2 linked regions of the Sus scrofa genome follow. The protein of the gene in region 1 purifies or fractionates together with the protein of each later gene. This does not show direct contact. Links are inferred from orthologs where the notes say so. Each region holds a gene or a part of one and is shown on either strand. Other genes may lie near its edges.

Region 1 (4,351 bases):
GGTGAAAGAAGAAAAGTCGGGAAAGACCAAAGGTTAGCACGGCATCATAAATCACTCAACATCTATTGGAACTTACCTCCTTTATAAATATTTACATTCCAGAGTGATGGGGCACTTGGGCTTTCGGGGGAACCTTAAAAACAGCATCTTGAGAAGGTGTCCAGCTTACTCAATAGCCATTGTGCAGCCTGATTTCACATTGAGATCATTTCTAAAATACCAGCTTGAGCATGAGACTAGTACTAGAAAAGTTCTAGGTCAGGAGGAGGTAAGGGGCTCAGCTCCTAGCTGTTCACTAAATGTGAGAAGCTGAGCAAATTCCTTGGCCAATCTTGACCTTGTTCTTCCCACAAATATTTATTTGAGCACCTACAGTGTGCCAGGCACTGTTAGTAGAATAACCAACCAGACAAAGATCTTGCCCTCAGAGAACTCATGTTCTAGGGGAGATGTATGATAAACAGATAAATAAACATGTAATAAGGACATGAAAACAGTAAGGAGGTTTATGAAGACAGACAGTACAGGTGCAGTGGACAGGATGCTATTTTGGATAGGGTGGTCTTTCGATCAGAGTGAAATAAATGTCTAGGGGAAGAGAGTTCCAGGTGGAAGGGACAGCATGCACAAAGGTAGGGATGTGCTCTGGTGTGTTCAAGGAAAAGGAAGAGGCCAGGGTGGCTGGAACAGATAGAATGAGGGGGAAAAGTGGAAAGGGAGGAGGTGCATGGTAACAGGAGCCGATTTTGGAGGGCCTGTAGGCTTTGTAATGACTTGGGATTAGCAGGTGACAGTACTCTCTGGCTTAATTTCTAGAAGCATGACTTTGGCTGCTTTTTAAAGAAGGACAGTCTTCTCATCTGGAAGCAAAGTGGAGCAGGCAAGAGAAACAAAGATGGCTTCCCTCTGGCCCTCTATGCACTGAGATGCCAAGTCACAGGCTTTGTGGAACAAATCACAGCCCATCTTGGTAGCGGCACAGCTAGGCTGGGGTAGCTCTTTCATCCCAGAGGCCCAGGGCAGTGCTATCCCTCTGCCATTAGCCTATGGGGGAAGGACAGAGCCCAGCCCCCAGAAGCTCCTAAGGGAACTGGTAACCTCCCTGCAGCCCCTGGAGCTCAGAGTGGCCTTTTGAAGATGGCCGCTTTTGGGTGGTTCCTGATATAAATGGAACCCGTTTGCTGTGCTTCATTTCCATCCAGCCACCAGCCTTCCTTCCCAAAAGGTCATCCGGAAAGGCCAATGGGCTTAAGGCATTTGGCCTGAGCCCAGCAGAGTGATTATTCTGCGCATGCTGAAGACATCAGGATCTTACTCCTTTTTCTGGGTCATCTGCTTGGTGTGAATTCACCCAAATAACATCAGTTTGGTATTTTTAGAGATATACTTTTTAAGTGCATTTCTACTCTTCTACAAAAAAAAAAAAAAAAAAAAAAAAATCAAGCTAAGGTTGGGGCAGGATCCCTCTGAGATTTAGAGACCCATTAGGCCTCTTGCCTCCCACCGCTCCTTCTGGAATCAGCCCTCTGCACCCGTGCCTCCTAGCCACTCCAAGAATCCTGAGTCACTTCACCGGTTCTGTTTCCTTCCTTTTCCCAGGCAACGTTCCAGATGCCAAGGAACACTGCAGCTCGGCCATCGCCTCCCTTCTGCAGGGCAGGTATTCGCACCCCTTGGCCTCTCTCCAGTGGCCACGGCTCCAGGCCGCGATGGAAGGTCGGGGAGACAGATTCCCCCCAATCCCCACCCACCCCCGCGAGCAGAAGACGCGAGGCAAGGAGGGGTGGGCGGAGGCGCTGCGCAGGCCGGGCTGAGCTGGGCGGCGGGGATTCGCTGGTGCGCGCAGGATGGGAGGCGGGCTCCTGACTCACTGCGGTACCCGCGGGGCTGCCGCCAGGCCTCCCCCGCCCCCTGCCATCTGCAGCGGGGGCGAGGCGCGCCGGGCGGGCCTCTCCTGGGTCGGGGGTCGTCGTGTGGGCTTTCCAAACAGCCCATGCTCATTTCCGCGGGAGCCCTCGGGGCGCGATGCTGTCACTGTTTGTTTATTTCCACGTCTGCCCCGGGAGGCTCCGCCAGGGCAGAGCTTTCTAATCCACCCCCTGATGCATTCGGGGGCCCTCTCACTTGGCATCGTGCCTGGCACGTCATCACGACTTGGGCGATCAGTAAACAGCAGTGGAAGGAAGGCGGAGGGAGGGGGGTGAGAGACGGGAGAGAAGAGCAAAAACGGAAGCGGCTTCGAGTCTCTGTATCTGCAGAAGCGCAGACCATCTCTCTTGGTAAAACTGGAATTAAAAGTCATCGTTTGGAGGTGTGGGGGCTTGGCGACCCCTCACACACCTCGAGCATCCTCCCCAATGTTTATGCTCCTAGAGTGACAGTGATAGTAATCAGGATGGAAGGAAAGGACCAAGAGAAAAGGGGGGATGTCTCTTACTCTTAAAAATGGGGTGGGGGTCATAAAAGCTCAGTTACTCAGCCCCAACCAACAATTGCCCCCAAAGCAAAGCAGGCTGGTGGCCCCTTCCTTCCTTATCATAACTGGAGAATTTGCAGGGCCTGGAAGATTCTCAGGCACATCTAGGAACCCATTTTACAGATGAGGAAATTGAGGTTCAAGGATTCTCATGTGCCCAAGTCGAGGAAGACAGGATAGGAACAGAGGTGTTGGGGCTTGGATTTCCAGTCCCTTACCCTACCTGCTGCACCCCACCACCTCTCCCTGAGCTTTCTCCCCTCCTGATTTCCCCCCCAAAATGAAAGTTCATGGAAAAAACCCACATCGTGTTTTTGTTCAAGGGGTAGACTCTGAAGATGTAGAATTCTGGAGACAGAGACCAGGCAGCCAGCAGCCTCTGAAACCCCCACCCATTCCGGGTGGGGGAGCAGCTGCCAGAGGCTGCCTAACGACAAGCTTTCTGGGGCAGCTCTGCTAGGGAGAGGTGTGTCTCTCGCAGCTCCAAAAACAGATTTTGCCATCTCATCCCCACTTTTGCAGTCTCCAGTTGGCTTCTTGTGATTGGCCAGAACTTTTCCTCCCTAGCAAGATGAGGAGAATTGGCCTCCTCCGACTGGCTGGGAGAAAACATTTCACCGCAGCAAAGATGCGAATGGCAGTTCCACCTCCCTCTGATGGGGGCCTGGGAGTCAAGTGGGGTCTCACCAGGCTGAATGATGCCAGGGACCCTCCAGGGTCCCCTACCTCTGACCTTGGGGAGAGGTGGCCTCTGACAAGGTAGCTGACCTTAGCCCTTTCATTTTATAATTGAGGGTGTCACAGTGGATGCTTTGGCTTTTTGGAGTGAAACATTTCTCAAAACCTAATTTTAAAAGTTGTCATCAGGGCTGGCAGCTTGGGGACACAGCAGGGGGTTGCTAATATGCTTCAAATTGGGGGCAAGGAGAGCTTCCTGTCTGCCTACTCCAATCCACTCCCACTTGACTATGCCATACCGATTCCACCTTTCTCCACTGTCAAGAACTCTGCCCTGAGAGCTGCCCACCTTTAGCTTGACCTGCAGGCTTCAAGGCATTCCCCAGCATCAGGCTGTATTAGCTTTTAATATCCCAAATGCAGTCCTTCTCTCAGCTACTCATGGAGAACTTAAACTCATACTGAGGCCCAGGCGACACCTCAGATGGAATAAATCAATTTCTGGAGGTGTTTTCCAAAGTTTCTCCCCACCCCCACCCCCTGCCCTCCAGACCCCAGGGACTGTAATGTACAGTGAGATTGAAAACCACTCTTGGGACGATAACTGCTGGGTTCACCTACCCACATCCTTCTAGTAACAGGGCCTGATGTTCCCTTAGAAATCCCACTTTCTCTGGATCCATGTGATTGAGCGATGTTCACTACCCCCCTCACTTCCCACTGTATTCCTCTCCAGGGGGCTAGCAGGTTATCAGTTTGGCCAATTAGCACATGCCATTCCCTCTGGAGAAAGTAATAGTTTCAGCCACAGTACGTGACCCAAGGAGGCCAATGAGAATCCGCCTCAAGACTTTTGCTGAAACTGCTGGGAAAAGAGAGGTCTTTTTGTGCTACAGTTTTTCAGTGGAAAATACGGGAGTGCTGGGCTCCCAGCAGCCGTTTTCATCACCACGTGAAGAAATCCTGCCTGTATACTAAGGCCACACAGAGGAGAAGAGAGATTATTGATAGAGGAAAAAGGATAGAAACCTAATTAAAGCTATGCCTGAAGCCAAATACCCTTCAGTAACAGAAACAAATAAATTCCCCCTTTTCATTCGAACCAGTTTTTGAGCTGGATTTTCTGTGATGTACCACATCACTGCAGAATTAATCTGTTACATAACTAGGTGTTACCTTGAAATGCAGAGAACAGAG
Region 2 (4,371 bases), on another chromosome or scaffold:
TTTTTTTTTTTTTTGGTCATTTCTAAGGCCACACCAGTGGCATTTGGAGGTTTCCAGCCTAGGGGTCTAATTGGAGCTGTAGCTGCCGGCCATAGCCACAGCAACGCAGGATCTGAGCAGACCCTGTGACCTACGCCACAGCTCACGGCAGCACCAGATCCTTAACCCACTGAGTGGGGCCAGGGATCGAACCTGCAACCTCATGGTTCCTAGTCGGATTCGTTAACCACTGAGCCACACGGAAACTCCAAACTTCACTTTAAATAGAGTCAAATGTTAATGAAAACATTCTCAAGAAGATTTTATAGGTAAAAAAGTAAAATTTACATGATTTGCTATATGACATAAAACTATGGATTCTAAGAAATGGTAGGGTTTTAATAACCAGAATGAGAGCCCCTAAATGTCAAATGTCATCTGTCCTTTTCTAAAAAGAAAAAAACAAAACAAAACAAAACAAAAAACCTCTGTTACAAATGCTCTAACAGAAAATAGAGATAGCCTTGCTTACAAAAGTTCTAAGGCTGAATGCAGGCTCATTCACCCATTTGGGGTGTCCCCCCCAACTCAGGCAAGCAGCTTCCTGCCTTGGCTATTTCCCAGAGATAGTAAAGCAGACTTGGTGTGAGGTGCGGTGGAGAACACAGGAAACAAACACTGCCAGTTCGCCTTCACGTCTATCTTGATCTCCTCCCAAAGCAAAATCCTACCCCTGTATTTCCATTTATCATACGCTTACAAAATGCAGTCTTTTATGGGAACATTGAGGTCATTCACTCAAAATGCAAAAAAGGCAAAAAAAAAAAAAAAAAAAAAGAGAGAGAGAACAACTGAATTGCAGTGAGGGGTCACACATAATATGTGCTCAATAAATCTTACCATTATTATTATCGTTTTATTGTTTAGACTACGAGACTACAAGAGGGGTGGTAGAATGAGAGCGATTTGTAAACCATAAAAGTTCTCCACAAATCCTACCAAAGCCTTTGAGGCTGGAAGCAGAGTGAGGGATTTCAGGAGTTTGGTTACGCATCTGAGCTTCAAGGTTATCAAATTCTCCCATATTTGGGCCTGAAGTCTCAGAATAGAACAGAATAGGACGTTAGGGCTGAGATCATCTGGTACAATTTTATGCTAATCGAAAAATTCTTGCCTTCTTGTCACCGTGCCCTGGCGATAAACAACACCGCCACCCCAGATCCTCCAATCCGAGCCCCAAAGGTATGATGTCATCGCTCCGCCCTGCATCCCCAAGCCCCAGAGCGTCAGGTCTCCAAGCTACCCATCTCGGCACCAGTTCCAACAGCGCCTGCGCATTGTGGGGCCGGTCGGGTCGGGGACGGACGCGTGCGCGCCGCGAGGGGGCGGGGCTAGTGCGCACGCAGCTTCATCCCCTTCCCAGCCCTTTCTCTTCCCGGTTTCCCTGTCAGCCTGCGGGTCGGGTCTGGCGGCTGCTTCCGGTAGGAGCGCGGTGCAGGGCAAGTCGGTCTCGGCTCCTCGTCATGTCCTACGGTCCCCTAGACATGTACCGGAACCCGGGGGCCTCGGGGCCCCCGCTCCGGGACTTCAACAGCATCATCCAGACGTGCAGTGGCAACATCCAGCGGATCAGCCAAGCCAGTGAGCCGGGGTACCGGGCTGGGGGGCGGGGACCATCCTGGGGACAGGCCTGGGTGAGACTACCGGGACGCGGAGCCCGGCCAAGGCCACAGCCGAGGCCGTCTCGGGCCCTCCGCTCTGGGTGCGGCGGGCTGCCATCCTCGAGTCTGCCAGGCCCAGGCTCCCTGAGAGTCCCTAGCCCCAGCTGAAGCTCGAGTTTCTTCTCAAGAGTTTTGCCCTAAAGGTGTTGGGGCCAGGACTACAGTCCTGACAACTCCGGGGTGGGAGGGTGTATATGTGTCCTCTCCAGAGTACTAAGTGAGTCGACGTGGTGCAGTGGTCAGCCGAGTTTTTCCTGTCATCTGCCTCCCTCCACCCACCTCTCTTTCCTCTTTGGTCTGGGTCTGGAGTTGTTTACTGGTTTAGACTTTACTTTCTGCTCAGCTTCTGGCTTCTTGGACGTCAGCAGCTTTCAATTAAGGGAAGTGGAGAGTGCATATGTTTTGGTGATTTTAACCCAGTTCTTTCTGTAATGGATTTTGAAATCAGACACAATGACTTTAAGGGGTGAGATTCTGCTTTAATAAAGAGATTTCACCGAAAACATTTCAACTTACGTTGTCTTTGTAGCAAAAGATATGCATATATTTTTGGATTTCAAGCCAATGAGGGTTTTGTTTTCCTTCCCCATTTAGTTACTCTTTTGAACTAACATGAGACAGGCAAAGGGACTTAGTCTCCATCAGCTAGCAAGTAAGACATGGCAGAGTTGGTGGTGGATTTCAGAATGTCATTGCTTGTCTTAAAACTACACACCATCCAACATTAGGGTCTGAATGAGACTGCAGTTGAATGAGTCAAATACAAGCTATTTCTTGTGCCTGAAAATCAGCTCAGAACCTTGTAAACAAGAGGTCAGCAGCGACTATTTGGAAAGAATGGTATCATCATCATCCTTGTTTTTTATTGTGTTTTTGTGAGCTTGGTTGTCCTCTGTTAATAAGTAGAACTAGCTGGCCCTGAATTACAGTTATGTTCTATCTATCACTTTGCTTTAAATTTAAATGTATAATGTAGAATTTTGAGCTAGGGAAAGTTTCTGATGGAAAGCGTTTGAGCCTGGATGCTTGGAAAGTGGAAAGAAGAATATGTGGTCTATTAACTGCAGAAATTTCAAACAAAAATTAATATGACCACTGGTTAGAAAGTATAGTACTTTGTGTTCCAATTTCCTTTTGTGAGGGAGCCGTAGCCCAGATTAGATCAGAAAATTCTCGTTCAGGGCTGAAAGTTTCTTGTTGAGGCCAAATCTCATTTTAATGTCTATCTGTGAAATGTTCATTCTACTTCTGTTTGAGTATCAGGCATGTAGTATGTATAGGAACTGGCATGGGTTCTTTTAACAGGGAATCCGTGGCATACATAACAACCAAAATAAAAAGTTGAAAGAGATCAGTACTATAGAAGAAGTGTAATAAAATTATAGATATTCAGGAGAGAGACACCTTTTTCATTTGGGAGGGGCCGGGGGAGGTGTTTGGGCATTTGAGCTAGGTTTGGAAAGATGGTGGGAAGGATTTGAACTTTTGGCAGTTAAAGAAGAGAATAAAATGAACAAGGTGCAGTAGTGGGAAAGCGTGTGGTGTGTATAGAAAAGTAGAGTGATTTAATTTGGCTAGAATGGTGAATTCCAGAAAGTAGTGGAAAATAGGATTGGAAAGGTAAGTCGAGGCCCAAACATGGAGGACTGTAAGTGCTAAACTAAGGGGGCTTGGATTTAATTCTTTAGAAACATGTACATTGAGTTGGAAGGGAGCGACTGGAATCATGGACACCAGGTAGGAACTGAAAATGCAAAGAAGGAAGGAAAGGATAGGAGAGGTATCTTTGGTGATAGAATTGATAAAGTTTATCTGTTGATTAAGCAGGCATGAGGGGAGTTCCCATTGTGGCTCTGTGGTTAACGAACTAGTATCCATGATGATGTGCGTTTGATCCCTGGCCTTGCTCAGTGGGTTAATGATCTGGTGTTGCCATGAACTCTGGTGTAGGTCACAGACGTAGCTTGGATCTGGTAGTGTTATGGCTGTTGTGTAGGCCTGCAGCTGTAGCTCCAGTTCAGCCCTTAGCCCAGGATCTTCCATATGCTGCAGGTGCGGGCCTCAAGAAAAGTGGGCATCAGGCTCAAGTGGATAATTGAATTCAACTATTAATAACATTAATAACTGACATTTGAGTACATACTGTATGCCAGGTAATATAAGCTTTATAGGAGTTTCTGCTGTGGCTCAGCAGGTTAAGGACCTGATATCATCACTGTGAGGATTCAGGTTCAATCCCTGGCCTGGCTCAGTGGGCTAACGATCTGGTGTTGTTGCAAACTGTGGTCTAGGTCCTACGTGCAGCTCAGATCCAGTGTTGCCGTGGTTGTGGTATAGGTTGCAGCTGCAGCCTTAGTTCAACCCCTGGCCCAGGAACTTCCATATGCTGCAGGTGTGGCCATAAAAAGAAAAAAAAAAAAGTGCTTTACATGCATTATTTTACCTAATTTTGTAACAACCCCGTGAAACAATTACCAATATTACTTCTTTTTAAGGGGTTAGGAAACAAGCTGAGAAAAGTTAAATAATTACCCAGCTGGCAAATGGCAAAACATAAATTTGAAACCAGATCTGTGTCTTATGACCAGCATTTAGCCTTTTTATAGTTTTTAATTAATATTACAGTTTTGTAGCAGTTAACGCTTCAACAGGTTACAGGTGACTTTTTCTT

The links.
Region 2: the proteins of SNAP25 (region 1) and STX12 purify together in Homo sapiens (co-immunoprecipitation; 3 studies listed by BioGRID and IntAct, with this or other methods). This does not show direct contact. The link is inferred for Sus scrofa from reciprocal best matches to the Homo sapiens genes SNAP25 and STX12.

The regions. Positions count from the first base shown.
Region 1 is NC_010459.5:19,094,635-19,098,985, forward strand, and holds the start of SNAP25 (synaptosomal-associated protein 25), read left to right. Parts: upstream 1-1,480; 5' UTR 1,481-1,660; intron 1,661-4,351.
Region 2 is NC_010448.4:84,917,455-84,921,825, forward strand, and holds the start of STX12 (syntaxin-12), read left to right. Parts: upstream 1-1,372; 5' UTR 1,373-1,502; coding exon 1,503-1,620; intron 1,621-4,371. UniProt on the Homo sapiens protein: SNARE promoting fusion of transport vesicles with target membranes. Together with SNARE STX6, promotes movement of vesicles from endosomes to the cell membrane, and may therefore function in the endocytic recycling pathway.